Drosophila melanogaster: one gene and its partners. The protein of the gene in region 1 purifies or fractionates together with the protein of each later gene. This does not show direct contact. Each region holds a gene or a part of one and is shown in the gene's direction. Other genes may lie near its edges.

Region 1 (5,604 bases):
ATTACTTTTTTAAACAAAATCAACTTCAAATCGCTGTTGCAACATTAAAAAGTTTTAATGAGCAATTTAATTGTCTGTATTTTGGATGATCAACTAACTAATACTGTGTTGTTAACAAGGTGTCTCCTTCGGATCTAGTTTAAATACAATTACTCACCAGCTCGATGATCTTCAGCAAGAGGCGATTGTTGAACTCCATGACGCTCGGTTGAGATTTCGCTTTCGTTGGCTTTTATGGAATGGAACTGGATTGGGTCGACTGGATGCGCTTGATTTTGCTGGTGCGTGTTGATGCCACGGCGTACGCAAGTGAACTGGCCAACTGCTCTGCCGCCACTCGCTTTCAAAGCTCCAGTGGCGTCGACGTCGGCAGCGCTGTCGGCGGCGGCAGCGGCGTCAGGCAGGCAAAGTTAATGCCCATGTTTTTGTTTACCTTCGGAAAACGCAATTAGCTCGGATTTATGAGCACATCCGTCGACGGAAGAGGTTAAAGGATATTCTCGTATAGCATTACTCATAATTTAACCGCTTTTGAAAAGGACATTTCAACAATAGGATGGTTAAATGAGAACTTTTCCATATGACTGTACTTTGAATTCACACACCTGCATATTGCCAAAGTAAAAATCAGATTTCATAAATTATCTTATAAGCTGTATATTCACAAGTCCTTATTTTAGAATCGAATCACTATAGACAGTCCGAAAGATCGACTTAGAAATTAAGTTAATGAAAAAAACAGAAGCACAAATAAACTATTTAGCCAACTATATCGATGCGCCCACATAGGCCAGTGCCCGTTCCGCCTCAAACGCGGCGACATATTGAGGCTCTAGGGTGCTGAGAGCCCGCTGGGTGAGCAGGGAGATGTTCTTCGCCTCGCCGTGATCTCGCTCGAAGGCGAGATACTCCACCCAAACGCGCGGCTGTGTCTTGCCGAAATAGCAGGCCATAAAGTCGTAGCACATGCGCCAGTATTTCAGGCTGGCCTGGTCCTGCAACAGATAAAGTAAATTAGTTGCGCCTCGCAATTATATGCCAAAGTAGCAAAGATAACAAAACATACACAAGCTGCCGCACTGGACTCCAGCTGAACCATTTGGCGGTGCAGCGCCAACGACATGGGCGGTAGAATGGCCAGCTTGGCGTACTCCTTGCGTGCTTCCTCGACAGACCGCTCCTGCCACAGATAGCGCAAATAATCGGAGCGCAGCTCACCAAATTCCGGCCACGCAGCCTTGCAGGCGAGACCGTAGATCTCATCCAGCCGGCGTGCGCCCAAGCTATCCTGCCGAGTGCGATAATACAGAATGACACTGCGCCACAGCGGCAACGCCTCACTGCCCATGCTCTTCTGGATCTTGTTGAATAGCTCATAGATCAAGGGCTCACTGTCGCTTTGAATGTGCGTGGCCAGAAGAAGCTCGTGCATCTCCACCGATGAATCGTTTTTCAGGGCTTCCGTGAGTATGGTGACAGCTGCCTCCCTTCCACTCGGAGCAGTGCAGAGCATCTTTCTTAATGTGGCATAGTGTTTCACGCCCATCAACTGAGAGCGATGGCCCGCCTGCAAGGCATCCGCTAGGCACTGTTGCTTTAGTATACGCTCCGTCTTTCCATCGCTATTGAGTGCCAGCATGGCATCCAAATACATATTCCACATTTCTGTCGTTTGCAGCTCCTCCACCGCCGATTTGTATACAGTAACGCAGAGTTGAATGCGTCGCTTGAGAGAGCGGCCATTTACGGAACGAGATTTCTTGCTGGCCGGCTCTTCGTCACTGGTATCCAAGTCCTCCTCCTCCAGGTCGCCCAGATGAAAGCCGCGCAACTCTCGCTGGGCAAGCAAATCCCACAGGCCCGGCTCCCGGGGGAACTTCTCTTGCATATCATCGATTATCATTCGCTGCAGCTTGCCCGTCAGCTCCTGATGATCCTCACAGCTTTCTAGAAGCTTAACAAAGTAGTCCAATTGGGTAATATTGGCCATGCTGTTGCGGTAGACCGCCTCCACGCGTTCCAATTTGATGTCCTGTTCCGAGAGCGTATTCTCGGCTAAATTGCGTTCGTTGCTGGCCAGGGCAGCCTCTTTCAGCATAATGTCAAAGAAGCACTTGTTAAGTGCCTCGGAATCCGGATGTCTCTGCAAGCCACGCAGCAGGATGTCCTTGACTCGATCGATGTTGAGCCGATTGAACTCGTACAGCCATAAGGCGGCGTCCACCCAAAGATCCGGCGAGTCGCCATGGTACTGCAAAAGAATAACAACAATGGATAAGTAATCAATGGAAGTGAGCAGGCTGGCAAATACTAACCAGCAGCATCTTCTCGTATATGCCCGCCACCTCGACAGGATTTGACTTCCTGCTGAACTTGATCCAGTTGCTCCACAGCCGTCTGTCGTGGTTAAACTTAGCCAAGGCCTCTCTGTACAGGCGCATGATCCGCGTGGCTATGGAGGCCTTTAGACCGGTGAGTTTAACGTGCATCTTCTTTTCCTTGTCCACGATGGTCATGTGCATGTGCTTCTCGTACAGTATGAAGTCCAGGTAGTCGGTGATGCTCTGGTGGCTCTTGTTGATCTTAAGGAACAAGCGTTCCCGCCTGCTAACGATTTCTCTGCAAGAATATGGATGAAATGGGGGCACAGACTCCAAATTCGTTTGGATTTCTCACCTGACCTGATCCGCTGTGAATACGCTGTAGTTCTTCATCTGCTCGTATTCCGGCAGCAGGCGCTCCTGCATCTCAGCTATGAACTCGGCCATATTTGCTTAGTTTTCTCCTTAATCGTACTTAGTAATATTGTTTATTTCTTTAAAAACTAGCGCACGTGCAACGCAACGGCCGTTTATCGATTGTCCAATTTCTGGAGAGTTATCGCTGACAGGGATGGTAGAAAGGGTAATTTAAAAAAAATATATATATATGTCAAAATTTAAAAATGGTCAAGAGATAATGATAAAATTACAATTGTAAAGTTTTTAAAGTTTCAGCTTTTTAATTAAAATGCGTTTACTGGCCAAGAGAGCGATAGTTGCCGATGGCGAGACCATGGAGTTGCCATCTTGATTTCTTCTTCTTCTTCAATCTCTTTAATCGCACGTATAAATAAGTTTTGGACGCCAAGAAAATAACAAAATTCGCAGTTGGAATAACACAATTAGCGTAAAAGCACAATGGCCGAATTCTCAGTGGAACGCGTCGAGGACAAGCGAACGGTGAACGGACGAACGGAATACTATCTAAAGTGGAAGGGCTATCCGCGCAGCGAAAACACCTGGGAGCCGGTGGAGAATCTCGACTGTCCAGACCTGATAGCCAACTTCGAGGAGTCGCTGAAGAACAACAAGAAGGAGACAAAGAAACGCCTGTCCACCTCCTCCACACCCGAATCCATACGCAGCAAGCGCAAGAGCTTCCTGGAGGACGATACCGAGGAGCAGAAGAAGCTGATCGGCTTTGAGCGCGGTCTGGAGGCATCAAAAATACTGGGCGCCACCGACTCATCCGGGCACCTAATGTTCCTCATGAAGTGGAAGGGCAGCGATCACGCCGACCTTGTGCCCGCCAAGCTGGCCAACACTCGATGCCCCCAGGTGGTCATACAGTTCTATGAGGAGCGCCTCACCTGGCACACGGGCAGCGGCAATGGTAATGGGAATACGAATTCCGTCAATTTGGGATCATCCGGTGGCCTGGGCTCCGTCGGCGGCAGTGGGGCCGGCGATGATACTGCTCCCGGCAGCGTTGGCACCACCGGTGGCGGCAGCAATATAGATGGCGGTGACGAGGAGGATCCCGAACCGGCCAGCCCCATTGGCAGCATCAATCAAGACGAGAATATCAAGCCGGACGAGAGTAGTGAGCTGGACAACGGACAGCCGGATGCGGATGACTAGTTGAGTGGCAGATACAGATGACTGTTTCGGATTCACTCGCTTATGTGGATACATACACACCGGCTTTATACGATATATGTACATACATATTTCGTAGCGTAGCCCTTAAGATAAAAAAATTGGACAAACTGAAGTTCTGGCGTCAGTCAGCGGTAGTATATACATATACATATATACATATACATATATATACATACTTAATCTATAAGTTCAATTGTAAAATTGTTTTTAACATCTACCTTTATTTTTGACCCACATAAATGTTTTATAAGCATATAACATCACAGTGTTAAATACAATTGGCCTAAACTACGCTTAACCTGATCAATGAGGAACGACTCAGACTGAAGGACCACCTTTCTATCTTAACAACTATCCAGCTTTCTAACACTTTAAGTTAAAAAAAAACACATTGAAATTGCCAATATTTTTGTGTGGAAATCAAAAGACGCCAATTGTGCTGCCCACCTAGCGCCTTTATAGCCAGAATTTGAGATTTTTTCCTAACAGGCAGTTATTAAGATCGATTAATTTAGATTTTCCCGATTTTTTCATTGTTTCGCAAATCATTATGTGTTCCAAACAAAAGCTTTTAAAACTATGTAGGTTTGTAAGACTAAAGTAAAGTACGAATAAAACAAAATTGTGCTGGCAGATAATTTGCCATGCCGTGCATAAGTACAAATATCTAAGAAGTTTCAATCATAAATACACATTCTTTCTCGCTGTCCCGAAGTTTTAATACAAATATTTTGTTTAAACATTTGACAAAAATCAAATAAAATGTCAAAAATGACTGAAGAATTGGAGAAACCAATTTGTAATAGCTACTATTTCCGCTCATCTCTGATCGATAGCAGGAATATTATTCGATAGACTGCAACAGGAGCCGGCAAAGTGTAAACTAAAATTATTATATTGAAATATTTGATGCACAGTAGAGACGCCGCGAGCCAATTCTAGCGTGGAAAGATGGCACAAACGAGCTCCATGAAGTTGCTGGGCGCCCGCAACATGTCCTGCATTGTGGAGCGTATGGAGTGGAACAACAAGATGGATCTAATTGCCTACGGAACGGAAAAGGGTGAGCGTCTGCCTCCGAAATTGCCAAGAATCACCAAATAAACTGCCAGTGGGCTTATCCCAATCATGTGGATAGGTGAGGTGGTCATCCAGCGTCTGAACTGGCAAAAGATTGTCACCTTTCCCACGCCCGGCGAGGATGTGCGGGTGCGTTCGCTCAGCTGGCAAATGGACGAGACACTCCTGGCGGTTGGCTACAGCAACGGCAAGGTGGCGCTCCTGGACGCCGAGAGCGGAACGATAATATCAGGCCTCATTTACGAGGACGACATCAAGAAGGTCTACTTCAGCAAGGCCATCAACTCGCAGGAGAACCTAGGTAAACCAGCGATACGAAATAAGCTACAGGGATTTGATTGTGTTATAAACGATTCTAGGAACTTACACATGTAATGTCAAGGATAAACACCGAAGGTTCCTGCCCAAACTGCAGCCAATGACCAATATTGATCCGTGCCTGAAAACCCTGGACCAAAAGTCCTTTCCAAAGGGATCACCTTGCTTTCTGGTGGTGATAATGCGCAGCGGCAAAGTGCACCTACTGCTCCTAGGAGCCCTGCAGGCGGGCAGCATCGATCTCACACAGCACATTCTGCATCCGCACGAGTTCGATGTGTAC
Region 2 (9,559 bases), on another chromosome or scaffold:
CTCTTTCTCGGTCCCGATCTCTATCCCTCTCTCTGTCGCGATCTCTGTCACGGCGGTCGCGATCCCTCATAATGTGTCCTTTATCGGCAGTTAATTATTTATTTAGTTTTTTATTTATGTTATATTTCTTGTGTGCCGGACGTCGCTCATTCCCAAAATACAAAATCGCCTGTCAAGAAAACGCAACATTTTTACGAATATTCCAGCTGGCCACACTGATTGTGTCAACATGTTTACCGCCTATCGATTTTTGGACTTATCGACCGATTTTAATTTAAACTAATAGGCGCGAATTTTAATTATAGTAATCACTTTAAAATATTTAACTTAGAACTATGTGTAATATTAAATCAATTAATTCTTTTTAACATATTCATTTAATATACTACATTTATTGAGTTTTGTCCTTACCGGCTTAGCATGTCAGTTTACAGACTGATGTGGGGTCTTTTAATGTCCAGTTTGCCGTACGCCCAAAGCAGGAAATACTAATTGCTGATTAACTCTTAGCAATTATACCTAATCAGCAGTTATCAAGATTATAGGAGACCTTATCGCTGATGACCACTAGCCATTCGTTAAATCAACTGGGATCGAAATTCCCACACGATCTATCAGTCTTGGCGAATCAAACCATTTTGCAGGCAAAAATAAACAGTCATAAATTAGGCAGCCAAATCTAGGAATCCTTATCAAGTTCCTGGGGGGCATATAAAAGGCACGGGCGGCCAAGTCAGCGGTCAAAGCACCTGCACCTGTGGAATACAAAATGTTGGTGGTTCAGCTAATTGCGGTTTTTTTAAGTCTGGGCTTGGCTAATGCCCTGCCTGCGGATACGGGGCGCGCCAGTTCGGTGACAACTGTAAGTTTTAGGATGCCATGTTCTTTGGCACCCAAAAGTCCTTACTAACCACTATATTGCTCTACTTTCCAGGTCACCATTGTTAGGGGACACGGTTACGAAATCGAGGAGCACGAGGTGCAGACCTCGGATGGTTACATCCTCACAATGCACCGCATACCGTACTCGAAGAACACTGGGTACGATGGGCCACGCCCTGTTGTCTTCCTTATGCACGGTCTGTTGTGTTCCTCCTCGGATTGGGTTCTTGCTGGACCTCACAGTGGGCTGGCATACCTGCTGTCCGAAGCGGGCTACGATGTGTGGATGGGTAATGCCAGAGGCAACACCTACTCCAAAAGACACGCCAGCAAGTCGCCGCTGCTGCAGCCCTTCTGGAATTTTGAGTGGCACGATATCGGAATCTATGATCTGCCCGCTATGATGGATTACGTCCTTTACTGGACAAATGTGACTCAACTTACGTATGTGGGTCACTCTCAAGGAACCACATCCTTTTTTGTGCTCAACTCTATGATTCCGCGCTTCAAGAGTCGCATTCGATCTGCTCATTTGCTCGCTCCTGTGGCCTGGATGGAGCATATGGAGAGTCCTTTGGCCACGGTCGGTGGACCACTGCTTGGTCAGCCCAATGCCTTCGTCGAGCTCTTCGGCAGCGCCGAATTTTTGCCAAATACACAGCTAATGAACCTGTTCGGGGCTCTCCTCTGCAGCGATGAGGCCATTTCACAGTTCATGTGCACCAACACCCTATTCCTGCTGGGCGGCTGGAACTCGCCATATATCAACGAGACCCTGCTCCCAGATATTATGGCCACCACTCCGGCGGGATGCTCAGTAAATCAGATCTTCCACTACCTGCAGGAGTACAATTCCGGATACTTCCGGCAATTCGACTACGGATCTACGCGCAACAAGAAGGAGTACAGCAGCAAGACCCCGCCGGAGTACGATGTGGAGGGCATCGATGTGCCCACCTATCTCTATTACTCTGACAACGACTACTTTGCTAGTCTGATTGACGTGGATCGCCTTAGGTATACCATGAACCCGAGCGCCCTGAAAAGCGCATATCGCATGCCGGAAGAAAAGTGGAATCATATCGACTTTCTGTGGGGACTGAATATTAAAGAAATTCTTTATGATCGGGTAATTAACGACATAAATAATGCATAAATGTGCGCTGGAAATAAAAAAAAGCGACATACGTTTTTGTGACATTGTGATAAAAAAAGTTCCATTGGTCACCACTTCAACGGGGGCTTTTGGTAGCTAATGAACCGATAATATACGAGTGGTCATAAATTCAAATTGATTTGGTGACACTTCACGGTGACTGAACAACGCAAAACGAACTAGCCTGCTAACATTTTTTGCCTTATAAGTGCACCTGCTAAATACAATGGATTATATTAAGTGTAATATAATAAAATATAAGCTGTACTAGATATTTTTATTTTATTTGCTGATTGTGTACTGTTGAGAAATATTTTGCACTCTTAGTTTGAATTGCGCGCCAACTTTCAGGGATGAAGCATCTTGTAAAATCATCGATAGACTTTCAGCGTTTTTTGTGGTAGTCGATAGTCCGCAACATACTGATCATAGTAAAAAATATCTGTAATGTATATTTAGGTGGGAAAATATATTCATGGCATTTATTTATACGTTAAATCAATTCTTGTTATGATATTCCTTAATTGTAAAAAAATTTTATTCTTGTTCTTATTAGCAGAATATAAAATTGACCAGTTTACGTTAACACTTTTTTTTAAATACAAAAATTTGATTTATATTTGTTTATATTTTAACGAACCGATGTGTGGTGCACCACTGTGCGTGTGTCACGACAATACCCAAGCCGATATTATCGATGTTTTCATCGATGTTATTTACTCGAGCAGGTACATCCACGCAAGGAAAGCTAATTCGAGCGAAAAAAAATTTACTTAGCTCTTAATATTTTTAAAAACAACGCCCTCGCTGGGCCAGTGGTCGGTTAACTAGTTAGCTGTAAGATGACGCGCGTAACGAGAAGTGAAATCTCCCTGGACATGGAGTTCTGGGTGGAGGAGCTGTCGCCGGCACAATTGGCGTACTACGAGAAGATTACTAACGAGCACAACGCGGTGAAGGGTGCACTAAAGAACGCGGTTAGCGCCAACGAGGGCAAGGAGCTGTTTAACGGCCAGGTGTTCCAGGCCTACTCCTTTAAGGGCAAAGTGCTGCAGGAGCTCAAGGAGGCTACGCTGCCCAAAAAACCACCCAAGCCGACGGACTCTCCCTCAACACCCGCCGCCCAAAGCGGTGGCACAGGGCGGGGTCGTGGCCGCCCACCACGACAACCATCCAACATCGCCTACCTGGAGTCCTCCGATGAGGGAGACGACGATATGCCGCTGGCCAAGCGACTGGCGCTGTCTGCAGGCAAAAAAGCAGTGGCCGTGGCCAATGCATCTTCCTCGTTCACCCCGAAATCCAGTAAGAAGGCTGCATCCGCTGCTAGTGGAGGATCTTCTTCACCGGTACCTAAGAGCAGTGGAAAACTATTTAAGGAATCCAAACCGGACATCGAATCGCCGCCGAAGAACTACCGCCCCGCCGAGGTTAATTCGGTGGGCGGTCTGGTGGTGGGCAGCACCGACGAAAGCAAGGATAGCAAAGACGGCAAGGATGGCAAGGATAACAAGATGCAAGGAAAGACATATCCATCTCTGGTGGTGCTAGCAAAGCCTTTTCTCAAGATCAAAGACATGGCTGCCACCCGCAGCAAGCTGGACTCGAAGGTTAAGCTGGTGCTCATGCTTACGCCCAATAAATTCTGCGAGTGGCTGCTCCAGGAGGGATTGCTACGCGCTCAACAGCATTGCATAAACCATCGCAACAACGAGCTCAAATTGGGTAAGAGATATATGATCAACTGAATTCGTTTATTAATGTATTTATATTTAGGAATTTATTCGGATGTGACCAAGTTTCCCTACACTGGTGGCTATGTGTGGATCAGCGAATGTTGCCCCTACCGCTTCGTCTCCGTGTTCAACAATTCCATTTTCGAAGGAGCTCAGCACCCACCCACATTCCTGTTGAAGTTAATTTACCACTGGGCTTGCCAGACCAGTATTCAAAATGTGGTGCAGTGGGTTAAGGTGGACAGTGTTTATATCAAAGGAATCTACACCTGGCTTAGAGCCATTTGCACTTTGGCAGTGCATCAAAAATGCAAGAAGCTGGGCGGTCCCGGCAAGTTTGTGGAGGTGGGTGTTATTTCCCTAGGAACCACATCCCAAGATGGCTCCCAGCGACAAGTGAAAGTTGAGGTTCTGGGCGTCTATGATTATGCGGAGAAGTCCATCCGACTGCGGGCTGTAGAGCCAATCACCGATGGTGATCGTAACTACAAAAAGCGATTCCAGGCCATTCTTGAGCCACTGTCGCGCTGGGTGCACAAGGACAGCACCATTTGTATAGACTTGACTGTCGACAAGATCACCCTCTTCAGCATGGGATTCAAAAATATTGTCCAAGCAGCTGCCACTGACAACACAGCCAAGCACAACAACTCAGCGGTAATGGAATATTTGCGACGGATTGTGCCGCGCATGTTCCAGAACACCCTATCGTTGCTATCTCGCCAGATGATTCAACAATTCCTCGACGAGTTGGTATGGCGAGAGTCCTTTGGTACATATGCCTTGCAGGCATTCAACAATATCATAATACACATTGCCGAGCAGACAAGAGTAACCACCAATGAGACAATCACTCAGCGTCTGTATCAGGTAAGCAGAATCGAAAAATTTTTATTAGCGATTAGCCTTTAATAGCTCTTTCGTTTAGGTGGCAACCAATCCGTTCAAGGACTGGAGTATTTTGCCGGCCAACTACAAGGAGACACCTGCCAATGCTGCTCCCAAGCGCCTCAAGAAACGTTAGTACTATCGTACTTTTGTAGCAAGTTTTTATTTAGGCCGTGAATAGAATAGTGCGTTATGATAATCTGTTAAGTGCCTGCGTTTCTCACTCCAAACTGAAATGTTTTCGTTTTGTTTGATTAGTTTTGGTTAATCGAACCCAACAGCTGAGCTCAGGTCCACTTATTGTGTTATGTGAATTGTGAATTTATATAATCTATATAGGTGAAATGTATCATTGATATATTCACATATGTACAATTTAAGCATTACTTCCTGACATTTCTCGTGTCTAATTATTTTAAAACAACCCCATTAGAGAAACCATAAATAAACTTGCAAGAAATTTAATAACTGTTTTTATTTGATTTCCTTTTTCATTTGGAGTGATAAAACGCAAGAAAGAATTTACTAATTAAATTGATTGGACCCATTCCACCAGATTCAACAAAAATGGACAAATATGTAATGTTTAAGTTTGTATGTTGAGATTACATCTTTTTAAGTTAACATCTTCAATTGCAGCTATCAACGATGCTGACTACGTTGTTTCTAACAAGATTCCCAAGAAGGAAAAGGATCGTGATATAGCATCATCTGGAGTCAAGCGCGGCCGTCCACCGAATGCATTAGGCACCCCACCACCTCAATTGCCAATTAAAAAGGGTCCAGGTCGGCCGCCGGGCAGTACCAACCAGACAAAAGGAGACAGAGCAACGACCTCGTCATCTAAATCACTGTCTAAATCTCTGATAGCTAAAGGCCTTGGTAAAAAACCGAAAGAAAAAGATGAAAAGATTCCAATGGTCATTAAGAAAGAAGAGGATGATCTAAGGGGCTTGGAGGAGCTGTACTATGGAATAAGTGATGGTACGGACGAGTACCACGAGATCTTTCCATATAGCACACCCCGTACGGTTCACAACGAACTGGCCAAGACCGTGGAGTGTCCAATCTGCCTGAACGGCGACTCCTTCGATTCCAATGAGAAACTCCAAACGCATTTAGTATCGCATATTTCGCCAGAGGGTAAGCAGCACCAGTTCCAGTGCCTTTTTTGCTTGGAGAAGCATCCCACCGAGTCGGTTTTGGCCAAACACAACCAGATCATGCATCCAACTGAGACAAAAACGGAGGGTTCACCCTCGTACTACTGCCTAATATGCCAGCAGCGTCACAATTCCCTGCATCTGTTGACGGCTCATTTGCAGAAGGTCCACAGCACCCTGGAACTACCATATTGGTGTCACTCCTGCGGCTATCGATCATCTTCGCACCGCGATTTGGTCAGGCATTTTTATGACGACCACAAGCATCAAAACTTTTTACAGTGCCCCTATTGCTTGGATGTAAGTAGCTGTCATGGTAAAGTAATCTTGTAAAGTTCTCTCTATTAAAAACTGATTCTTTTTAGATTTTCTACTTCTCAAAGCTTGGCGTCGTTAACCAGCTGCGCATAGAACATTACTTCATGCATTTGGACGAGCACATCAACAAGCGTGATCCCTCGCTGCGCTGCCAGAAATGCTCGCTATCCTTCCTCGAGAAGGGGGATCTAAAGCAGCACGCAGTGCAGCATCATGTGAGCATGACTAAGACCAATAGACCGGTGCGTCTCTTACTCAACAACTCGATGTTGATACCACCGCCAAAGATTCGCACCCATCACCGCGAGCAGCCGCCGTTCTCCACCTACAAGCGGCCAGTATTCTTTGCTTTTCTGGAGGGTAAGACCTGTGCCGAGTGCAACACCGATTTCGCCAGCGAGGAGACACATTACACGTAAGTTCAAAAATATTTTATTTACCTAAGCAATAAATCGCCATGGATAAAGGTGCCAGTATTCACAAGAGAAAACCAGAGCTGACAGTATCCAACCAATTCCCAAGACACACCAGCCCAGTCTCAAAGTATCCACATCGATACTTTGATAGCCCAGGACGTTATCTACAAACCTAACGTATCCAGCACGCATGGCATCGTTAAAGTCGGAAACTACCCAGTGATTCAGCAGTCCAGTATCCTGAATCTTCAATATGAAATGGTTAAGGGATGTCTCCAAGTGGCTGTCAACGCGCATTGGATAGCCAATATGTGGAGATCCCAAGCAAGCAGATGAAAAGCGAAAAATCGGCTTAAAGGCATATTGCTGTTGCATGGCAAAAAACTGCCAACGTTCTTCTGTAAAAGGGTACGCGAAGCTGCGATTAAAACTCAGCAAAGCGGACACCTGTTCACTGGCATTTACAGGCACCAAAAGCCGAGATACTTTTTCCACTAATCGAGGTTCAACATGGCGCAGAAATGTGTTAATTTCATACTCCTTGACGAGCACCCTTTGCTGCTGGTGGACAAGCTGATCCATGCTATTTACTTGCTCGCCCACTACTATGGTTGTGAAGAAGCTGTCCAACTCAATGTTGTACCAACTTGTGGACATGAATCCCAGGACTGAAAGTTGTAGGAAAATAATCAAATGGCGCCATGTTGGTCTGTAAATTGTTATAGGGGGGCTGATAAAAAGTATCTTGCTTATCGCATCTAGAAAATTCAATCCCAAGCGTTGCGGCCAAGAACTTTTATTGAGTTTCGGGCTTATGCAATAGAGAATTCCAGTGATGTAGAAAACTGCGAATAACAGAATATACCAGCTGTACAATTGGAATGGTCGCAATAGGTACATGTGCCTTGGAATCTCATTTCTCATGGGCACAATCAAGCAGTTTGGATATATTAGTAAGGGGTAACTCTTGGTTGCTGTTGGGGGTGTGAAAACGTACGGGTGCAAAGAGATTTCCAATTGACCGTCTATAATCAACTGCACAATGTGGTTCATATTCACACTAGTTGTTGGGTCTAGATTCTCATCTGGATTGGTCAAACGCAGCGAGGCATTATAGTGATCCAAATATTCCACGAATGTGCGATATGCGTATCCCAGCACCTTTCTGCTCTTCGTTAATGGATCGTGCACATGAAACACTCTCGGAATATCATTTTCCGCCGGAGTGGATACTACATATCCATGGAAATTCCTTGCTGCATGTGGAAATAGCGGTTCCGTATGAATATCGAGTTTGAAAAAACGCATCGCCGGATACGGAGTGTAGGAATAAAGCTGATCCCTTTGCAGGACAAGAACGTTGAGGAATTGATATTGCCATAAGGCGTTGAATATTGATTTAATAGCACCTTGCGAGCCACTTCTTTGATTACGCAGAATGATGATCAATCGAATGCGACGGAGTTTTCGTAGATTTCTATCCAGAGTAAGCCACATGATATCATGTTTATCATGACAAAAGAACAAAGCTATGCCATTGTATCTAGTGATTTTAAAATGACCAAGGGGTCTTATATGTTCAGGTTGGAGAAATAAATTCATTGTCAAGCTAGTAACTCCCATTGTTTGATGGAGCCAAATAATCAAGTCGTTGAGGTCGCCTCCTTGCGTATTATGTCCGACGAATATTGGTGTATTTATCCACGGCTCCCGTGTAGAGATGAGACTTAGAACGGATTTCAACAATGTCACATTGTAAGCAGCGTTTGTTAGCGCCAGTAATAAAATAACGACCAATAAGGTTAACACTTTGCACATGGTGGTTGATTCAATTGTGACAAGCCAGAACCGCGGGTTGAGGTTTATAAGTCAGCAGCTAATTGATTTAATAGTGGCTGATTGATCTCTTGGGGAAAACTCATTAGAATGTGTGAGGCAATAATTTGTAATAAAAGGTTTTGGCGCTCTACGCACTCATTTAATCACTTTTTTATATTAAATCTTTTCCCAGTGGTTGGCTACACTGCGTTAAGTGCAATTATCAGACATGTTGCGAGCGAGCGCAATTCCGTCATGGCGTGGAATGTAATGGAAACTTTGTGGACGCCATGGAAGTGAATATGCCACAGGAGATGCACTGCATCTGCGGCTTTGCCACCGGCAACGGCAACAAGATGGCTCAGCACTTGGCAAATTGTGGACTTAGCACCTGCTACCCAAGTTTGGAGGCTGCCAGTGAGAATGCCGTCAAGCGTAATATGCTGGACATGTTGGGCCTGGTTCGACGCGATGGAGAAACCTCTGGTGAAGGTGCAGATATTAGCGAGACTGCTGATGATGTCGCGGATCAGAGCTCCGACATGTTGCCGCCGCAGGAGGACCATCATTTGCAGCAACACCATCAACAGGTGGGACATCAGCAACAGATGCAGGGACAGCCGAATGAACCGCAAGCGGAACTTCAACAGGAATACTTGTCGGCGCCAGTTGAGCATGAGCCCGTGCAGAATATGCCAGTACATCAGAGCATGCCGGTGCAGCAGACCGGTCCAATACAATTTGGAGAAATGGAGGCGGCCCCAGTTTTGCTGGATACCCAGCAGCAGGTACAACCCACCCCGGATTATGCTCAAGTTTCGGTGGTGCAACAGCACCAACAGCAACAGCCCTACGGACTAAGCAACTACGGCCAAAGCTCTTTAGCCACGGATATCGACATGCCACTGATTGGAGAGCTCTCTGAGCCAAATGCTCCACCCACGCCCCAGTTCCTGGGCGAGGTGCACACGCCCATGTTCGATGCAGTCGCTGCCGCCGAGCAGCAGCACTATCACGCCCAGCACCATCACCATCCGCAATGATACAAGCCCCACGGAAAGCTCAAATCACGCGACTATACCCTTCACTGGCAGAACTATTAGTTAAAGTTCATTCATATTCATCGCACATTGGCCATATCCCGAATTCCGTATCACCAATACGAAGGCAAATAAATTGTAT
Region 3 (8,707 bases), on another chromosome or scaffold:
CCATTAATCAATCTTATCTGAGCCCGGCATTCATGTACCAGTGAGTTTTTCCGCCCAATCCCTAAGTGGAAGTCCCCGCCCCCCGCCAAGGGTATACTCGCCACATGTACATATATGTAGTGTGTCACATGGGGCGGTGTGGCCAAGTGGATACGCGAGTCAAATGCAAAGTGCCTGCCACGATGACGCCAACTTATCCGCAGAGTAGCCGCAGCCACTTGATTCATGTGGCCATTTTCCAGATGACAGTTGACACTGGCGTCTGGGGCTTTTAATTGGGATTGAGATTGAGATTCACTCGGCATGTGAAATGTAAAATGAGGAATGTGTAATGCTCGTGGGGGCGGCGACCTTGGACCTTGACCGAAATGCTTGTACATTGCGCATACGCCACGCCATGCCAACCCCGCCTGCCTTTTAACCCAAATAGCGAACAACCCAGACCAGCCAAAATCCTCATCCACAAACGCAACTGCAACTGATTTTCTAGGCCTTTAATGTGCAGCAGCAATCGCCGCAGCAGCCGCAGCCGCAGCAGCAACAGCAGGAGCAGCAGCAGCAGCCGCAGCAACATGGCCAGTTTCCGTATCCGGTGGTCCGGTATCCGGTGCTGCTGCTGAACAAGAACAAGAACAAGGACCTGACCGTCGTGGCAACGGGCAAGACCAAGAACAAGTGGCGCTATGTTGATAAAGTAAATATGTAACCCGCACAAACACCATACACCATACACCATGTAACAAAAACATACACAAGCACATACGCAACAAAACTGCCACACACACCCAACACCACACACAACAAACACTTCAAGTCACAGGCTCGTATAATTAATGATGTAAACAGAGCGGCTAAATAAAATTCAGATAGCCAAATTGATTGCGCATTAGCGAGTCGCATTGGCAGGCATTTGGGCACCCCACCCCCCATTCTCTAGCCCCATTCCGGTCGAGAAACCCATGTACTGGACTCACTGTGGCTCACCTTTCGCATATTTGCCCTCCAAACAGGACAGCAACCAGACACTCCTGCCCCTCATCCCCGAGCATGCCGTGCAGACACTCACGCCGCAGGAAATGCTCCAGGTGGAGCAGCGGATGGACCAGCGCAGGGAGCGGCTAAAGGACAAGTGCTCCGCCTACGGCCTGGATGTCCTGGGTGGGTCCTTCGCTTTGGATTCGCCAAATGGATTGGGGTCTGATCGCTTGTGTTTTATTTACAGGTCACGACGCGTGGCACACGCCGAACACGTGGGAATTTTTGGTCAACAAAAAGTATCACATTATCTGGTGGGTGTGCCCTTTATTCACTCTTCAACGATTCCATTTTAGTGTGTCATTCGGATTTGACAAATAGGATCTTAACTTACTATTTATTTTCCGTGCAGGTGCAATGTCTTTAAGGCTGCCTCATCGTCCTGGATGTTCAACTTCAACGTCCTGGCCGGTTACTCGCCCAGCTATCTGCGCAAAACCAAGAAGATCCTTCTCAACCTGGCCAGGGAGCGCTATCCCAGGGTGACCCTCGACGAGGTGCGTCTCGAAAGGAGTTCTTAATCCCCTTCCTCAAACCTAAATTAAACTCTTTCTATTTCGGGCGACAGCTGCGTGAGGCACAGAACTACTCGGTGACCTTTATCATCGCACGCGATCCCTTCGAGCGGCTGTTGAGTGCCTATCGGGACAAGATGGTGTTCGCCCTGCCCTACTCCTTCCACGATAAGTTGGGACGCAGCATTGTGCGCAACTACCGCAAGAAGGTAAGCATTTCGACTGTAACCCACTGCGTATACACGATATTGTTGCAATAGCAATATCAAGTATACGCATCGAATGCATCTAATACATTGTATTTTATCCAATAGCCGTCACTGGCTGCCCGTGCGGCCAACACAAAGTTCCCATCGTTTCCGGAATTCGTGCACTGGCTGCTCGACCAGGTGAAGCGCGGCAGCTTCATCGACATGCACTTCGTGGCGGCCACCTCGTTCTGCACACCCTGCCTCATCCGGTTCGACATGATACTGAAGTTCGAATCGCTGGCGGAGGATCAATTATATCTAATCGAAAAGACTGGCCTCAAGCGGGTGATAGCGCCCGTGTGGCGCAACATGGGCAAGGGCCGCAAGACGCACGAGCTCCAGCAGCAGTTCTATGCGCAGCTGACACGCCAGGAAATGCTGGAGCTCTACGAGTATTACAAGTGGGTCATCCATTTAAATTTTTAGATTATGGTAGCATACTTACAAGTTAAAATTCCTCCCCACAGATACGACTTCGAGCTGTTCGACTACGATATCCAGGAGTATCTGCAGGTTGCCCGGCCGGATGAGGCCGAAAGTCCGGCGGGCACAAAGAATTAAACTAGCTCTGAATTCTTAGACTTTGCTAAAAACCAATGAATCAAGTTCAACGAACTCACATATTAGCCGTCACAGTACGTAATTGCAAATGTTGATAATACTGAAGAAAACAATAATAAAATTAGCTATATTTAAACGAAGCCTGTGCCAAAGTCTTTTATTTAATGTAAAAATGTATTTTTGGCGAGACACATTTTTAATTAAATCCAGTTTTAAACATTTTTTTCAGTGCACCAATTTTTAGCGCGTAAAATGTTCATATATGGTTCGAGTCCCTGCTAGACGTGTCTGTACTGTTGCTTGGTTACACTATTTTTACATTGACAACTGGTATATTACGGTATTTTTGAGAGCGGTCTCACTCACGTCGAGCTGACGCTTATTCTGCTTCTTCTTCATCTGGTCGCCGCGCAATTTTTTTATCCGGCGGAATTTGCAAATGCAATTTCTGGCGTTTAGCGCATTTTAAGCGGAGTTAACGCATACACAGTAACAAATCCGGCGGCAATATGTCGAGCTTTGTGCTGGACAAGGAGGCGTTCGTGCGCCGCGTGAAACGCCTCTACACGGAATGGAGGGTGAGTCTGTCCGCCGGTCGGCGATCTGCGTGTTTTTGGGGCCGCAGGAGCACCGGGGAGCACGTGGAGACTCTGCAGACGGGTCACGATAATGAAAGATTGGGAGATGTGGTGAAATTAATTACCCATAGACCAGGTTGTTTGGGGAAAAGAGGATTACTGCATAATAATATCGGACTCTTTGTCTTTCGCAGGCTCCCAGCATCGGACACGATGACGCGCTCAGGAATCTGGACTGCATCATGAGCATCGTGGGCGTCGAAGAGGATGTCATGTACTCCAAGTCCATGGCCCTGCAGCTCTGGCTGCTGGGCTACGAGCTGACGGACACCATCTCAGTGTTTTGCTCGGATGCCGTGTATTTTCTCACTAGCAAAAAGAAAATAGAATTCCTGAAGCAGACGCAGAACATCACCGAAGAAGGTTTTCCGGAAATCAATCTGCTTGTTAGGGATCGGGTGAGTTTCGATTTCTGCTCCAGGCCAAAAGTTCTCTAATCCTTTCTGATCTTGACTTCGAGAAGACGGACAAGGACCAGGGCAACTTCGAGAAGCTCATCAAAGCCCTGCAAAACTCGAAGAAGGGCAAGCGTTTGGGCGTCTTCGCCAAGGACGCCTATCCCGGGGAGTTCAGCGAAGCATGGAAGAAATCCCTGACGGCGTCCAAGTTCGAGCATGTGGACATTAGCACTATTATCGCCTACCTCATGTGTCCCAAGGATGAGTCGGAGATCAACAACATACGCAAGGCATCGCTAGTGTCAATGGACATTTTCAACAAGTATTTGAAAGATGAGATCATGGACATTATTGATTCGGATAGGGTGAGCACCTGGCGGCTATAATATTATGTGTTTTCCTAATATATTAACCTTTTTAACCTCCTTTTTAGAAAGTCAAACACAACAAGCTCTCAGATGGCTGCGAGGCTGCCATTGGCGAGAAGAAGTACACCAGTGGTCTGGATCCCAGACTCCTCGATATGGCCTACCCACCCATCATCCAATCGGGAGGAGCCTACAGCCTGAAGTTCTCCGCGGTGGCGGACAAAAATCCCTTGCACTTCGGTGTGATTGTGTGCTCCTTGGGCGCCCGCTACAAGTCGTATTGCTCAAATATATCGCGCACCTTTCTGGTGAATCCCACCGAGGCCATGCAGGAGAACTACACATTTCTGGTAAGTGTGCAGGAGGAGATTCTCAAGCTGCTGGTTCCGGGCACAAAGCTGTGCGACGTCTACGAAAAGACCCTGGACTTCGTGAAGAAGGAGAAGCCGAGTATGGTGGACAATCTGCCCAAAAGCTTTGGTTTCGCCATGGGCCTAGAGTTCCGGGAGAACTCCATTGTCATCGGACCCAAATGCCAGGCGCTACTCAAGAAGAATATGGTCTTTAATTTGCACGTGGGCATCTCGAATCTGACCAATCCCGAAGCCACCGACAAAGAGGGCAAGAACTACGCCCTCTTCATCGGAGACACTGTGCTAGTAGGCGAACAATCCCCAGCCAGTGTGATGACTCCGTCCAAGAAGAAGATCAAGAACGTCGGCATCTTTATCAAGGACGACAGCGACGAGGAAGATGTGGACGACAAGAAGACCGCTAAAGAAGATCAGGGCACCGAGATCCTGGGCCGCAGCAAGCGCAACGCGGTGCTGGAGTCAAAGCTGCGAAACGAGATCAACACGGAGGAGAAGCGCAAGGAGCACCAGCGCGAGCTGGCTCAGCAGCTGAACGAGCGCGCCAAGGATCGGCTGGCCAGGCAGGGAAACTCGAAGGAGGTCGAGAAAGTGCGCAAGAACACCGTCTCCTACAAGTCCATCAGCCAAATGCCGCGCGAGCCGGAAGTCAAGGAGCTCAAGCTTTACGTGGATAAGAAGTACGAGACCGTCATCATGCCAGTGTTCGGCATCCAGGTGCCGTTCCATATATCCACCATCAAGAACATCTCGCAGTCGGTGGAGGGCGAGTACACGTACTTGCGTATCAACTTCTTTCATCCCGGCGCCACAATGGGTCGCAACGAAGGCGGACTCTATCCTCAGCCAGAGGCCACATTTGTCAAGGAAGTGTAAGTATAGTGCGAAATCTGCTTAAGGAATGCACTAACTAGACACTTTTCCTGCAGTACATACCGCAGCTCTAATGTTAAGGAACACGGGGAGGTGGGAGCTCCATCCGCAAATCTAAACAATGCTTTCCGGCTGATCAAGGAGGTGCAGAAGCGCTTCAAGACCCGCGAGGCTGAGGAGCGCGAAAAGGAGGATCTTGTGAAGCAAGACACACTCATTCTGTCCCAGAACAAGGGTAATCCCAAGCTGAAGGACCTATACATTCGGCCCAACATCGTGACCAAGCGCATGACGGGCAGCCTGGAAGCGCACAGCAATGGATTCCGCTACATCTCCGTGCGCGGCGACAAGGTGGACATCTTGTACAACAACATCAAAAGCGCGTTTTTCCAGCCCTGCGATGGCGAGATGATCATTCTTCTGCATTTCCACCTGAAGTACGCCATTATGTTTGGCAAAAAGAAGCACGTGGATGTACAGTTCTACACGGAAGTGGGAGAGATCACCACGGATCTGGGCAAGCACCAGCACATGCACGACCGCGACGACTTGGCTGCTGAGCAGGCAGAACGTGAGCTGCGGCACAAGCTCAAGACTGCCTTCAAGAGCTTCTGCGAGAAGGTGGAAACCATGACCAAGTCGGTAGTGGAGTTCGACACGCCGTTCCGTGAGTTGGGATTCCCTGGAGCACCCTTCCGCAGCACGGTGACGCTGCAACCCACCTCGGGCTCCCTGGTCAATCTGACGGAATGGCCACCATTTGTCATCACGCTGGACGATGTGGAGTTGGTGCACTTCGAGCGCGTTCAGTTCCACTTGCGCAACTTCGATATGATATTTGTGTTCAAGGAGTACAATAAGAAGGTTGCCATGGTGAACGCCATTCCTATGAACATGCTGGATCACGTGAAGGAGTGGCTCAAGTAAGTTCATCTGCCCATTTGCAAAATGCACTTTTACTAATGAGTATCCTGTAGCTCCTGCGACATCCGCTATTCGGAGGGTGTTCAATCCCTGAACTGGCAAAAGATCATGAAGACCATCACCGACGATCCTGAGGGATTCTTTGAACAAGGCGGCTGGACATTCTTGGACCCGGAATCGGGCAGCGAAGGCGAAAACGAAACCGCCGAATCCGAAGAGGACGAGGCCTACAATCCCACCGACGCCGAATCGGATGAGGAGTCGGACGAAGATTCCGAGTACTCAGAGGCATCAGAAGACAGCGAGGAAAGCGATGGTATGCACAAACCCAAAACATTCCATATCTTCTAGTTGGTTAATATTTTCATCATAATTTACAGAGGACCTTGGCTCTGATGAGGAATCTGGCAAGGATTGGTCCGATCTGGAGCGCGAGGCTGCTGAGGAAGACCGCAACCACGATTATGCCGCAGATGACAAACCACGCAACGGCAAATTCGATTCGAAGAAGCACGGCAAGAGTTCAAAGCACAGGTATGAGCCACGATCCCATCATGGACGGGTTTCCATTAAGGGTTACCTTATCCGAGATCTCCTTTCTCTTATCTATATCAATCGTTCTACAACATTTTACGTCCACCACAGTCGCCGCGACCGCGAGGAGGCTCGATCGTCGTCGCACAGTAAAAAGCACAAGTCGAACTCCTCCTCGTCCTCTTCGCATTTAAAGTCCTCCAGCTCCAAACATGGCAGCTCATCTAGGTTTGTTATCGAAAGCCCCGAACACTTAATACCCAACCATACGGCCTAACGCAAGTGCATTTCACATATCATTTTTCACTCACAAACCATTACACACTGGAAGTTTCGTTATAAATTTGATTTTCTTCTTTGGTGGAACAAAAAACCAAGCAATTGGACGTTTTTAAGAGTTATTTTTTGTTGATATTATTTATTTCTGGTGTTGGCTTGGCAAGTTTTGGATAGGGATACCCCAAATTCCATCCGTTTACAACCACTTTCTGTTTGGGTTTATGTTGAATTATTTATGATTGTTCAGTCTGGCAAAATTGATAAAAAGAAAGAAAAAAAAAGAACAGCATCATAACTCGCTTGCTCAAAATTGATAACCACAGAGGAGTAATTATTTGTGAAATTTCTTTTAACACATTTCCAAATTCCCTTGATTATTTTAAAGCCCGTCGAAGTCGTCGAAGGACAAGTACAACAGCCGGGACAAGCATCATTCCTCCTCATCGTCCGGAAACAAGAGCAGCAGCAAGGACAAGGATCGCAAGCGCTCGCGGGATGACAGTCGCGACAATGGGCACAAGTCGAAGAAGTCGCGACATTAGGGAGCTGTTCCTGTCGCCAAGCCTGTGTGGCACTCCGTTCGTAATCTAGCTCTCCTGTTACCATTGTCTATCTGTTAAAGGACCCGCCACCCCAATCCCCCGTCACTCATTTTTGTCACGCTTCAAAAGTTGTATTACAAATTAAATATAATACGATACATTAATATAATAAACTAATGTAAGAACTACATTACTCCTACTTGTTCCAGCTGCCGAGCAGATGCCGATAGGCGTGCACCTCCACTTCCCCGCTGTCGCGCCGCCGCCTTCGCCGTCCGCCGCGCTGCTCCTGCTCCTGGTGCAGATGCGGATGAGCTTGGGGATGCTGGCGCGGACTTCCGGCGGCGGCCACACTACCCCGCCTTTTGTGCGCATCGAACATGTTGCGGGTCTTGTTGATCGGATAGCGCATCTTGTTCTTCAGCCAGGTGGTGAAGGCGCGCTCGTTGTCCTGCATCTTCTTCAGCTCCTGCTCGTTGCGATTGATGGTCTGCTCCATGGAGAAGCGCTGCTTCCGCCGCAGTTGCTGGTCGCGCCGCTGCAGTTGCTGGGCAGTCAGTCCGTACTCGGACATGTAGCCCGTGTACCTGGGTAGCTTGCCCTGAATCGAATGCCGGTGCTCGCAGCAGATCTTGTAGTTCATCCGCACCGAAGGAGACGTCGTGGAAGCGGAGGCAGAGGATAGAGTGGGCGTGGGCTTGGGCCGACGGCGAAAGCTAAAACTGCGCGAAGTGAAGAAGGTCTTGGAAGTCGCCTTGGGACATGTGGTGCACGAATCCCTGACTTCATCGGGCTCCTCCTTCTTGTAGTAAATGCTCTGCTCGTTGAGCTCAAAATCATCTGGAATATAGCTGGCCACAATGATGGACAGATCATCCTCCTCTTCGGCTTCAACTGCAGCCACCACAGGCGCTGGCGCCGGCAAAGGCACTTCAGTTTCGGCTCCCGTCAACCTGTCAATGGTTTCTTGCTGTTTCGGATCCAAGGTCTTGTAAAGATTCTTGTAGGCATCCCTTAGCTTCTGGCGAGCCTCATTTAAGGTGCGTTCCTCCTCTTCGCAATCAGATTCGGTTAGCAGATTGGTTAGACTCTTCTGGTCGGAGTCATCCTGGTCGAAAGTGCCCTGTCTCAGTTGAAGGGAGCCCGGAACAGAAGAGTCCTTCGCCGGAGGATCGTCATCCAGGTCCGCCTCATCCACGCCGGAGAAGTCGTCTTCATCCTCAATGGGAGTGGCTTCCTGGACCACTGGCTGTTGGGGCACCTCACTCAAGTCCACGATTTCCTCGCATATCTCCTCCTCCACTTCATCATCTACTTGGGGTTCTTCCATCGGAGGAGGCGTTTCTACCACCTTGGTCTCGTCTGCAGCCGCTGGTTCTTCCTCTGCAATGGGCTTCAGCTTCAGCTGCGTCAACTGC
Region 4 (6,541 bases), on another chromosome or scaffold:
AAAGCAGCAATCTGTTGTGTCGTAGCGGGAGAACAGGTTTGTCCAGGTATGCAGCGGCTGTTTGAACTGCCGCAGATCCCAAAGCTTCATGGTCTCGTCGTTGCTGCGAGTGGCCAACTGCTGACCCATGTACGAGAACACAATGGAGGTGATCTCCGAACCCTTCTGATGCGCATCCCTGACGCAGTGCGTGGTGTTCACAAACATCTTGCGCGTGTCCCACGTCTGAATGGAACCATCCACGCAGCCCGCTGCTATGAGTGTGGCGTCCCTGTTAAAGTTGCATGATGCTGCGTTGGTGCGGAGGCCTCCCTGCGCCCTTGTCTTGATCACCTGCAACTGTTCCTTGGACTTCAATCCCTGCCAGATGCGCAGAGTACCGTCGAGAGCTGCGGTCAGGAACTGCTCCCTGTTAAATGGATGCCAGCAGCCGGAGGTCAACTGTGCCACGTGGCCCTTGGTGCGCGACATGTCCGAGATATACTGGTCGCCCTTGCAGCACTCCAGTTTCTCGAATCCATCGCGGTCGAGGACCTTGGCCTGGGCGTTTCCGGAGATGACCAGGATCATGTCGCCGGTCACGGAGTACTGGAGAGAACGTATGGGATGGTTCTCGCACGGCTGCAGTTGCCGGAAGCTACGCATGCTCGAGTCCATGCCGGCGAAATCCCAGAAGCACATATCGTAGTCTATGGAACCAGAGACCAAGCGGGCACCCGAGGGATCGCCAGCCAGGGCAAGGACAGCGCGGGAACCGTGCTGCATCTGCACCTCGTGTGTGTAGGGTATGCGCTTAGCAAGGCTTTGTTCGTCATCTGAATCTTCATCGGACGAATAATCATCGTCATCGGAGTCTTCGTCTTTGGACGATTCCTTCGTGGCTTTCTCCTTGTCTGTGGTCACAGCTGGTGGTAGGGGACCTATTACGTCCTCCTCTTCCTCGTCTTTCTGGTCATCCTCCTTCGGCTTGGACTCCTCCCTTTTTTTGTCCATTCCCGGGCGGGTAACTCTCGCCTTTTCTATCTGCTCGTTGATGTCGAACACCTTGGCCGCCTTGCGACCAAAGCCACTGATGCCCATCACTTCCTTGAGGTGCTGGCTCTCCAGATCTTCGGCCACGTCCTCGATCTGCCGAATCATCTGCTCCTTGTCCATTTTCTTGAATCCTCCGCCATTTCCGCTGGCTTCAGTGGACTCCTTTGCATCTTCCGCCTCGGTTTCGTTGGATCTTGGCTCCGCAGGAGGTACGTTTACATTCAGTTTGATTTTCCCGAAGGAAATTTTACCGCGTTGCATAGTTTTAAGGCCCCACGCTAAGTGGATTTTCAAATTTTTAATTAAAACTATATTTCTCTGAAAATATGCGGTAAATATTTTGTAAACAAGTGAATTAAGTGACCGTTTATATTCGGACTGTCAATTTGGTATTTTAAAAGATCGAGCGAATTGTTATGGTCTTTAAATAAGCTCTGGCTTGCCCATTAAAATTTTTCAATTTAATAATGACTCATATATTGTTCATGTATTGCAAACAAGATATATATAAACAATAAAGGAAACTGCATTGGAATATTAAGAGTTTATATCGATTGCAATTTAAGAATAGTGCACTCAAAAATACTAAACACACATACGGTCACTCTAATATAGCTGACTGGCGTCTAACCTAAAATTAGGCGCGCAGTGTTGTTTTGTGTCTGCCGGAATTATTGTAAATTGGTGACAATTTCGCAAGGCGGCGTAATACATAGTTGATCTATTATCTTGTTACTGGAGAGGAAGAAGTGCAGGATGACAGACTCTCTGGAGTACAACGACATAAACGCCGAAGTGCGCGGAGTCTTGGTGAGTCGCAAAAAAGCCGGCGTATTTTGTCACATTTCGCATGACCGAGGTTTTCCATTTCCCTGCGCGCAAAAAAGTGTTCCGGACGCCTAAAGATGACCGAGCAGAACATCATCTTCAAGAACACCAAGACCGGCAAGGTGGAGCAGATCTCGGCAGAGGACATAGACCTGATCAATTCGCAGAAGTTCGTGGGCACCTGGGGACTGAGGGTGTTCACCAAAGGCGGCGTGCTCCACCGCTTCACCGGATTCCGCGACAGCGAGCACGAGAAGCTGGGCAAGTTTATCAAGGCTGCCTACTCGCAGGAGATGGTCGAGAAGGAGATGTGCGTCAAGGGCTGGAACTGGGGCACCGCCCGCTTCATGGGCTCCGTCCTGAGCTTCGACAAGGAGTCGAAGACCATCTTCGAGGTGCCGCTGTCGCACGTTTCGCAGTGCGTGACCGGCAAGAACGAGGTCACCCTGGAGTTCCACCAAAACGACGATGCGCCCGTGGGTCTACTGGAGATGCGGTTCCACATACCCGCCGTGGAGTCGGCCGAGGAGGATCCGGTAGACAAGTTCCACCAGAACGTAATGAGCAAGGCCTCGGTCATCTCGGCTTCGGGCGAGTCCATCGCCATTTTCAGAGAGATCCAGATCCTCACGCCTCGCGGTCGCTATGACATCAAGATCTTCTCGACCTTCTTCCAGCTGCACGGCAAGACGTTCGACTACAAGATTCCCATGGACTCGGTGCTGCGGCTCTTCATGCTGCCCCACAAAGACAGTCGACAGATGTTCTTTGTGCTCTCCTTGGATCCGCCCATCAAGCAGGGACAAACGCGTTACCACTACCTGGTCCTGCTGTTTGCTCCCGATGAGGAGACCACCATTGAGCTGCCATTCTCGGAAGCCGAGTTGCGAGACAAGTACGAGGGCAAGCTGGAGAAAGAGATCTCCGGGCCGGTGTACGAGGTGATGGGCAAAGTGATGAAGGTGCTGATCGGTCGAAAAATTACCGGACCCGGTAACTTTATCGGACACTCTGGCACGGCTGCAGTGGGCTGCTCGTTCAAGGCTGCAGCTGGATATCTGTATCCCCTGGAGCGAGGATTCATCTATATCCACAAGCCACCGCTGCATATCCGCTTTGAGGAGATTAGTTCTGTGAACTTTGCCCGCAGCGGCGGATCCACGCGATCTTTCGACTTCGAAGTGACGCTCAAGAACGGAACTGTTCACATCTTCTCCTCCATCGAGAAGGAGGAGTATGCCAAGCTCTTCGACTACATCACACAGAAGAAGTTGCATGTCAGCAACATGGGCAAGGACAAGAGCGGCTACAAGGACGTGGACTTTGGTGATTCGGACAACGAGAACGAACCAGATGCCTATCTGGCTCGCCTCAAGGCTGAGGCGAGGGAAAAGGAGGAGGACGACGACGATGGCGACTCGGATGAAGAGTCCACGGATGAGGACTTCAAGCCCAACGAGAACGAGTCCGATGTGGCCGAGGAGTATGACAGCAACGTGGAGAGTGATTCGGACGATGACAGCGATGCTAGTGGCGGCGGAGGCGACAGCGACGGCGCCAAGAAAAAGAAGGAGAAGAAGTCCGAGAAGAAAGAGAAAAAGGAGAAAAAACACAAGGAGAAGGAGAGAACAGTGAGTAATGTTTGCTTATTATTATAGCTTATGGTAACATGTTTTTATATGTTTTTATAGAAGAAACCCTCCAAGAAGAAGAAGGACTCTGGCAAACCCAAGCGCGCCACCACCGCTTTCATGCTCTGGCTGAACGACACGCGCGAGAGCATCAAGAGGGAAAATCCGGGCATAAAGGTTACCGAGATCGCCAAGAAGGGCGGCGAGATGTGGAAGGAGCTGAAGGACAAGTCCAAGTGGGAGGATGCGGCGGCCAAGGACAAGCAGCGCTACCACGACGAGATGCGCAACTACAAGCCTGAAGCGGGCGGTGACAGCGACAACGAGAAGGGTGGAAAGTCCTCCAAGAAGCGCAAGACGGAGCCTTCTCCATCCAAGAAGGCGAATACCTCGGGCAGCGGCTTCAAGAGCAAGGAGTACATTTCGGACGACGACTCCACCAGCTCCGACGACGAGAAGGACAACGAGCCTGCCAAGAAGAAGAGCAAGCCCCCATCCGACGGCGATGCCAAGAAGAAAAAGGCCAAGAGCGAGAGCGAACCGGAGGAGAGCGAGGAGGACAGCAATGCCAGCGATGAGGATGAGGAAGATGAGGCCAGTGATTAGGGCCATAAACACAACAAATCAATTCCATAAACACACACCACGCTCCTCACACACCCATGTCCCAAATCTAGTTTACATTCGCCTAGTTTAGTTAAGTGCTGCCTGTTGGATACAGACCCATACGTTTTTGTTTAATTAAAACTCAACAACAATTCGAAAGTTCAAGTAATTAAACAGAATTGATAATTGCCCGTAATGATTGATATCTATCGATTATGGTTTCGCTTGACTGGCTTTTGCCACTTTCGTCAACATTATAATGCCACAGTTTGCCAGTTTTTAATGGCTCTTTGGTGAACTTAGTGATGGCCACGTTGACAGAGTTATTCCTCTTGTTTGGGCTGTGGCACATTTTGCAGGCAAGTTCGACCGTAAGCTAGGCCGGCTGGGATTATGAACCGAACACTAGCTCACTTCAGGTCCAAGGAGTTGCCAAGTTCACAAACATCGAGTGCCTGAGTGCGGACGAAAACTTCACCACCGTTTCCCTGTGCCGATTGTACGCCGTAAAGAGGGATGTCGTCGAAATGAGTCTGCGGGCCAACATCCTGCGATGGCCAAAAGGTCCGGTATCGGTGAGTTAGTTTGCAAAGCTAGGGCGTTCCTGAATGCCATAGTTGAATAGCTATCTATAGTAGAAAATGCGAGTCCAAAACACTAGTAATTAAACAACTTGAAACCTATCCATGCCTAAAACCAATTTATGTTTTGAATTAATGAAATAACTATAAACCTGTTTGAGGTTTCACAAATGATTGTGCTAAAAGACGGCGACGGCTGGCCGGTTGACGCTGCTGACGCACTTCCTGGCCGCTGGTCTCCATCGCCGTCTTGGCCAGCAGATCCTCCACATCGTCATGGAGGTCCTCCAGCTTGGTGGCGGAGGCAATAGCAATGGCATTCTTGAACTTGCGCTGAGGTCGGCGATTAATTATCCTGGGTGATTCCGACGACACGTCGCTCTGGAACTGCTCCGCCTGCAGGTGCGTGGTGGCCTTCGAAACGCCCACCAGAAGCTCCTCAGAGTCGTCACGGAGGTGCTCTAAGCTGCCAACGGGACTGGAACCACTGGACAGATTTTGGACAGAGACGTTGGCCGAGTCAGTATCCTCGGAAGTTCTGCCTCCAATTCCTTCTCCAGTGGAGTCCTGCAACAGATCGGAAGTCCTAAGGGGAGCAGTGCTCGATCTCGACCAGAAGCTGGACACGAAAGGCAGTACAGAGATTTGGGTCTGTGCCACCAGCTGTGTCATCGAAGCGAGGGCGTCGATCAGGAGCTTCTCCTTGCCCCGGTGCAGGAAGTGATCGATCTCCTCCTGCCGCTTTGCCAGCACCGGACGCAGGATGGCGTCGAATATCCAGACATTGGCGGCCGGAGCGGACAGCACGATCCACACGACCAGGAGCAACTTGGTGGGCATGTAGAGCGGCAGCCAGGAGAGGAAGACGTCCGCCAGCACCTCGAAGGTGACCAGGAAGGCGTAAACTATCCAGTATTTGGCCCAGGCCAGGAACTCCTCGTCTCCGCTGTTCAGAGTCTTATAGGTTTGCCAGGCCGGTCCCATGGTGCCGTAAACGAAGAACAGGAACTGCGAAACAAGGCCAAAGAAACACATATCTAAAATATACGGTGGATACTAGGACTGCCAGAATAAGTGTTCTTCTTTTGGAAAATTCCGAATTTAATGCATGGGCTATAATCGAAATTGGCAGTTTAAGATCGATGTGCCTGTGTATCTAACTGTTTGTTTAAAAGTGTGGCGATATTCTACAGCCAGTTGTGTGTAAAGTGTAAAGCACAGCCTGCTGGCGTATAGCACCAACACCTTAGTGTAATACCAATATGTTTCTCCTTCAGATGCGCATGCAGCTGCTGAAGAAGGCCAGTGGCTATAAGCCCTTTCTCTACAATATCTGCCAGTCGGATGTGTGCGAGTATCTGGAGAAGCGGAATCATCCCTTCATTAACATCATCCTGAGCAGTTTCGGGAACAGAACCAATGTGAACAAGTGTCCGATTCCAGTGAGTTTGCCTAAGAAATGATTGATTATGATGTTTACTTCAGTTCTTCTATCGATTACAGCCGGAAATAGTGTTGGAGCACTTTCGGTTTCCCGTCAAGGTTCTGGACATGATGCCCCTGCCCTTCGGGGACTACGGACTCTTCACCACCTTCACTTTCCACCGATCGGAGTTGGCCCAGGTTAAGGTGTACTTCACATTAACAGAGTATCGCTAAAGGCACACAAATCACGAGTCGCATCGAGTATTTGTTATAAACATCAGACGCGGTGCAATAAACCAATTAATAAATTTGCCATAAATTTGTTAACTGCCCGTAAAAGAGCTCTCCGATTTGATTATCCCTTTGTAATTGCAATAAACGGATTTTAATTAAAATTATTAATGCGTGCATTTCATTTGAGTGTAATATGTAAAT

Evidence for each region.
Region 2: the proteins of HP1b (region 1) and row purify together in Drosophila melanogaster (affinity purification with western blotting; one study listed by BioGRID). This does not show direct contact.
Region 3: the proteins of HP1b (region 1) and dre4 purify together in Drosophila melanogaster (affinity purification with western blotting; one study listed by BioGRID). This does not show direct contact.
Region 4: the proteins of HP1b (region 1) and Ssrp purify together in Drosophila melanogaster (affinity purification with western blotting; 2 studies listed by BioGRID, with this or other methods). This does not show direct contact.

Annotation. Positions count from the first base shown.
Region 1 is NC_004354.4:9,078,180-9,083,783, forward strand, and holds HP1b (heterochromatin protein 1b), read left to right. Parts: upstream 1-3,074; 5' UTR 3,075-3,179; coding exon 3,180-3,902; 3' UTR 3,903-4,567; downstream 4,568-5,604. Other genes in the region: CG44325 (uncharacterized protein), read right to left, coding at 158-199; CG7246 (uncharacterized protein), read right to left, coding at 768-995, 1,067-2,251, 2,316-2,619, 2,677-2,768; APC4 (anaphase promoting complex subunit 4), read left to right, coding at 4,875-4,986, 5,062-5,304, 5,363-5,604.
Region 2 is NT_033778.4:15,206,811-15,216,369, reverse strand, and holds the start of row (relative of woc), read left to right. Parts: upstream 1-2,735; 5' UTR 2,736-2,880; coding exon 2,881-3,763; intron 3,764-3,814; coding exon 3,815-4,644; intron 4,645-4,702; coding exon 4,703-4,793; coding exon of another isoform or gene 4,794-4,798; exon of another isoform or gene 4,799-5,125; intron 5,126-5,301; coding exon 5,302-6,125; intron 6,126-6,190; coding exon 6,191-6,558; intron 6,559-6,583; coding exon of another isoform or gene 6,584-8,377; intron 8,378-8,570; coding exon 8,571-9,420; coding exon of another isoform or gene 9,421-9,480; 3' UTR 9,481-9,559. Other genes in the region: CG11808 (uncharacterized protein), read right to left, coding at 1-70; CG8093 (uncharacterized protein), read left to right, coding at 770-862, 935-2,038; Ir51b (ionotropic receptor 51b), read right to left, coding at 6,584-8,377.
Region 3 is NT_037436.4:1,870,343-1,879,049, reverse strand, and holds dre4 (dre4), read left to right. Parts: upstream 1-2,737; 5' UTR 2,738-2,871; coding exon 2,872-2,940; intron 2,941-3,134; coding exon 3,135-3,398; intron 3,399-3,463; coding exon 3,464-3,763; intron 3,764-3,831; coding exon 3,832-5,009; intron 5,010-5,066; coding exon 5,067-5,933; intron 5,934-5,987; coding exon 5,988-6,250; intron 6,251-6,314; coding exon 6,315-6,468; intron 6,469-6,579; coding exon 6,580-6,696; intron 6,697-7,132; coding exon 7,133-7,289; 3' UTR 7,290-7,476; downstream 7,477-8,707. Other genes in the region: CG13937 (uncharacterized protein), read left to right, coding at 491-694, 1,011-1,158, 1,223-1,289, 1,388-1,532, 1,604-1,759, 1,865-2,202, 2,269-2,362; CG13924 (uncharacterized protein), read right to left, coding at 7,486-8,707. UniProt on the Drosophila melanogaster protein: Component of the FACT complex, a general chromatin factor that acts to reorganize nucleosomes. The FACT complex is involved in multiple processes that require DNA as a template such as mRNA elongation, DNA replication and DNA repair.
Region 4 is NT_033778.4:23,804,114-23,810,654, reverse strand, and holds Ssrp (structure specific recognition protein), read left to right. Parts: upstream 1-1,650; 5' UTR 1,651-1,791; coding exon 1,792-1,845; intron 1,846-1,922; coding exon 1,923-3,494; intron 3,495-3,554; coding exon 3,555-4,100; 3' UTR 4,101-4,294; downstream 4,295-6,541. Other genes in the region: CG5543 (uncharacterized protein), read right to left, coding at 1-1,296; CG5539 (uncharacterized protein), read right to left, coding at 4,826-5,716; CG13561 (uncharacterized protein), read left to right, coding at 4,406-4,459, 4,520-4,675, 5,959-6,123, 6,185-6,340. UniProt on the Drosophila melanogaster protein: Component of the FACT complex, a general chromatin factor that acts to reorganize nucleosomes. The FACT complex is involved in multiple processes that require DNA as a template such as mRNA elongation, DNA replication and DNA repair.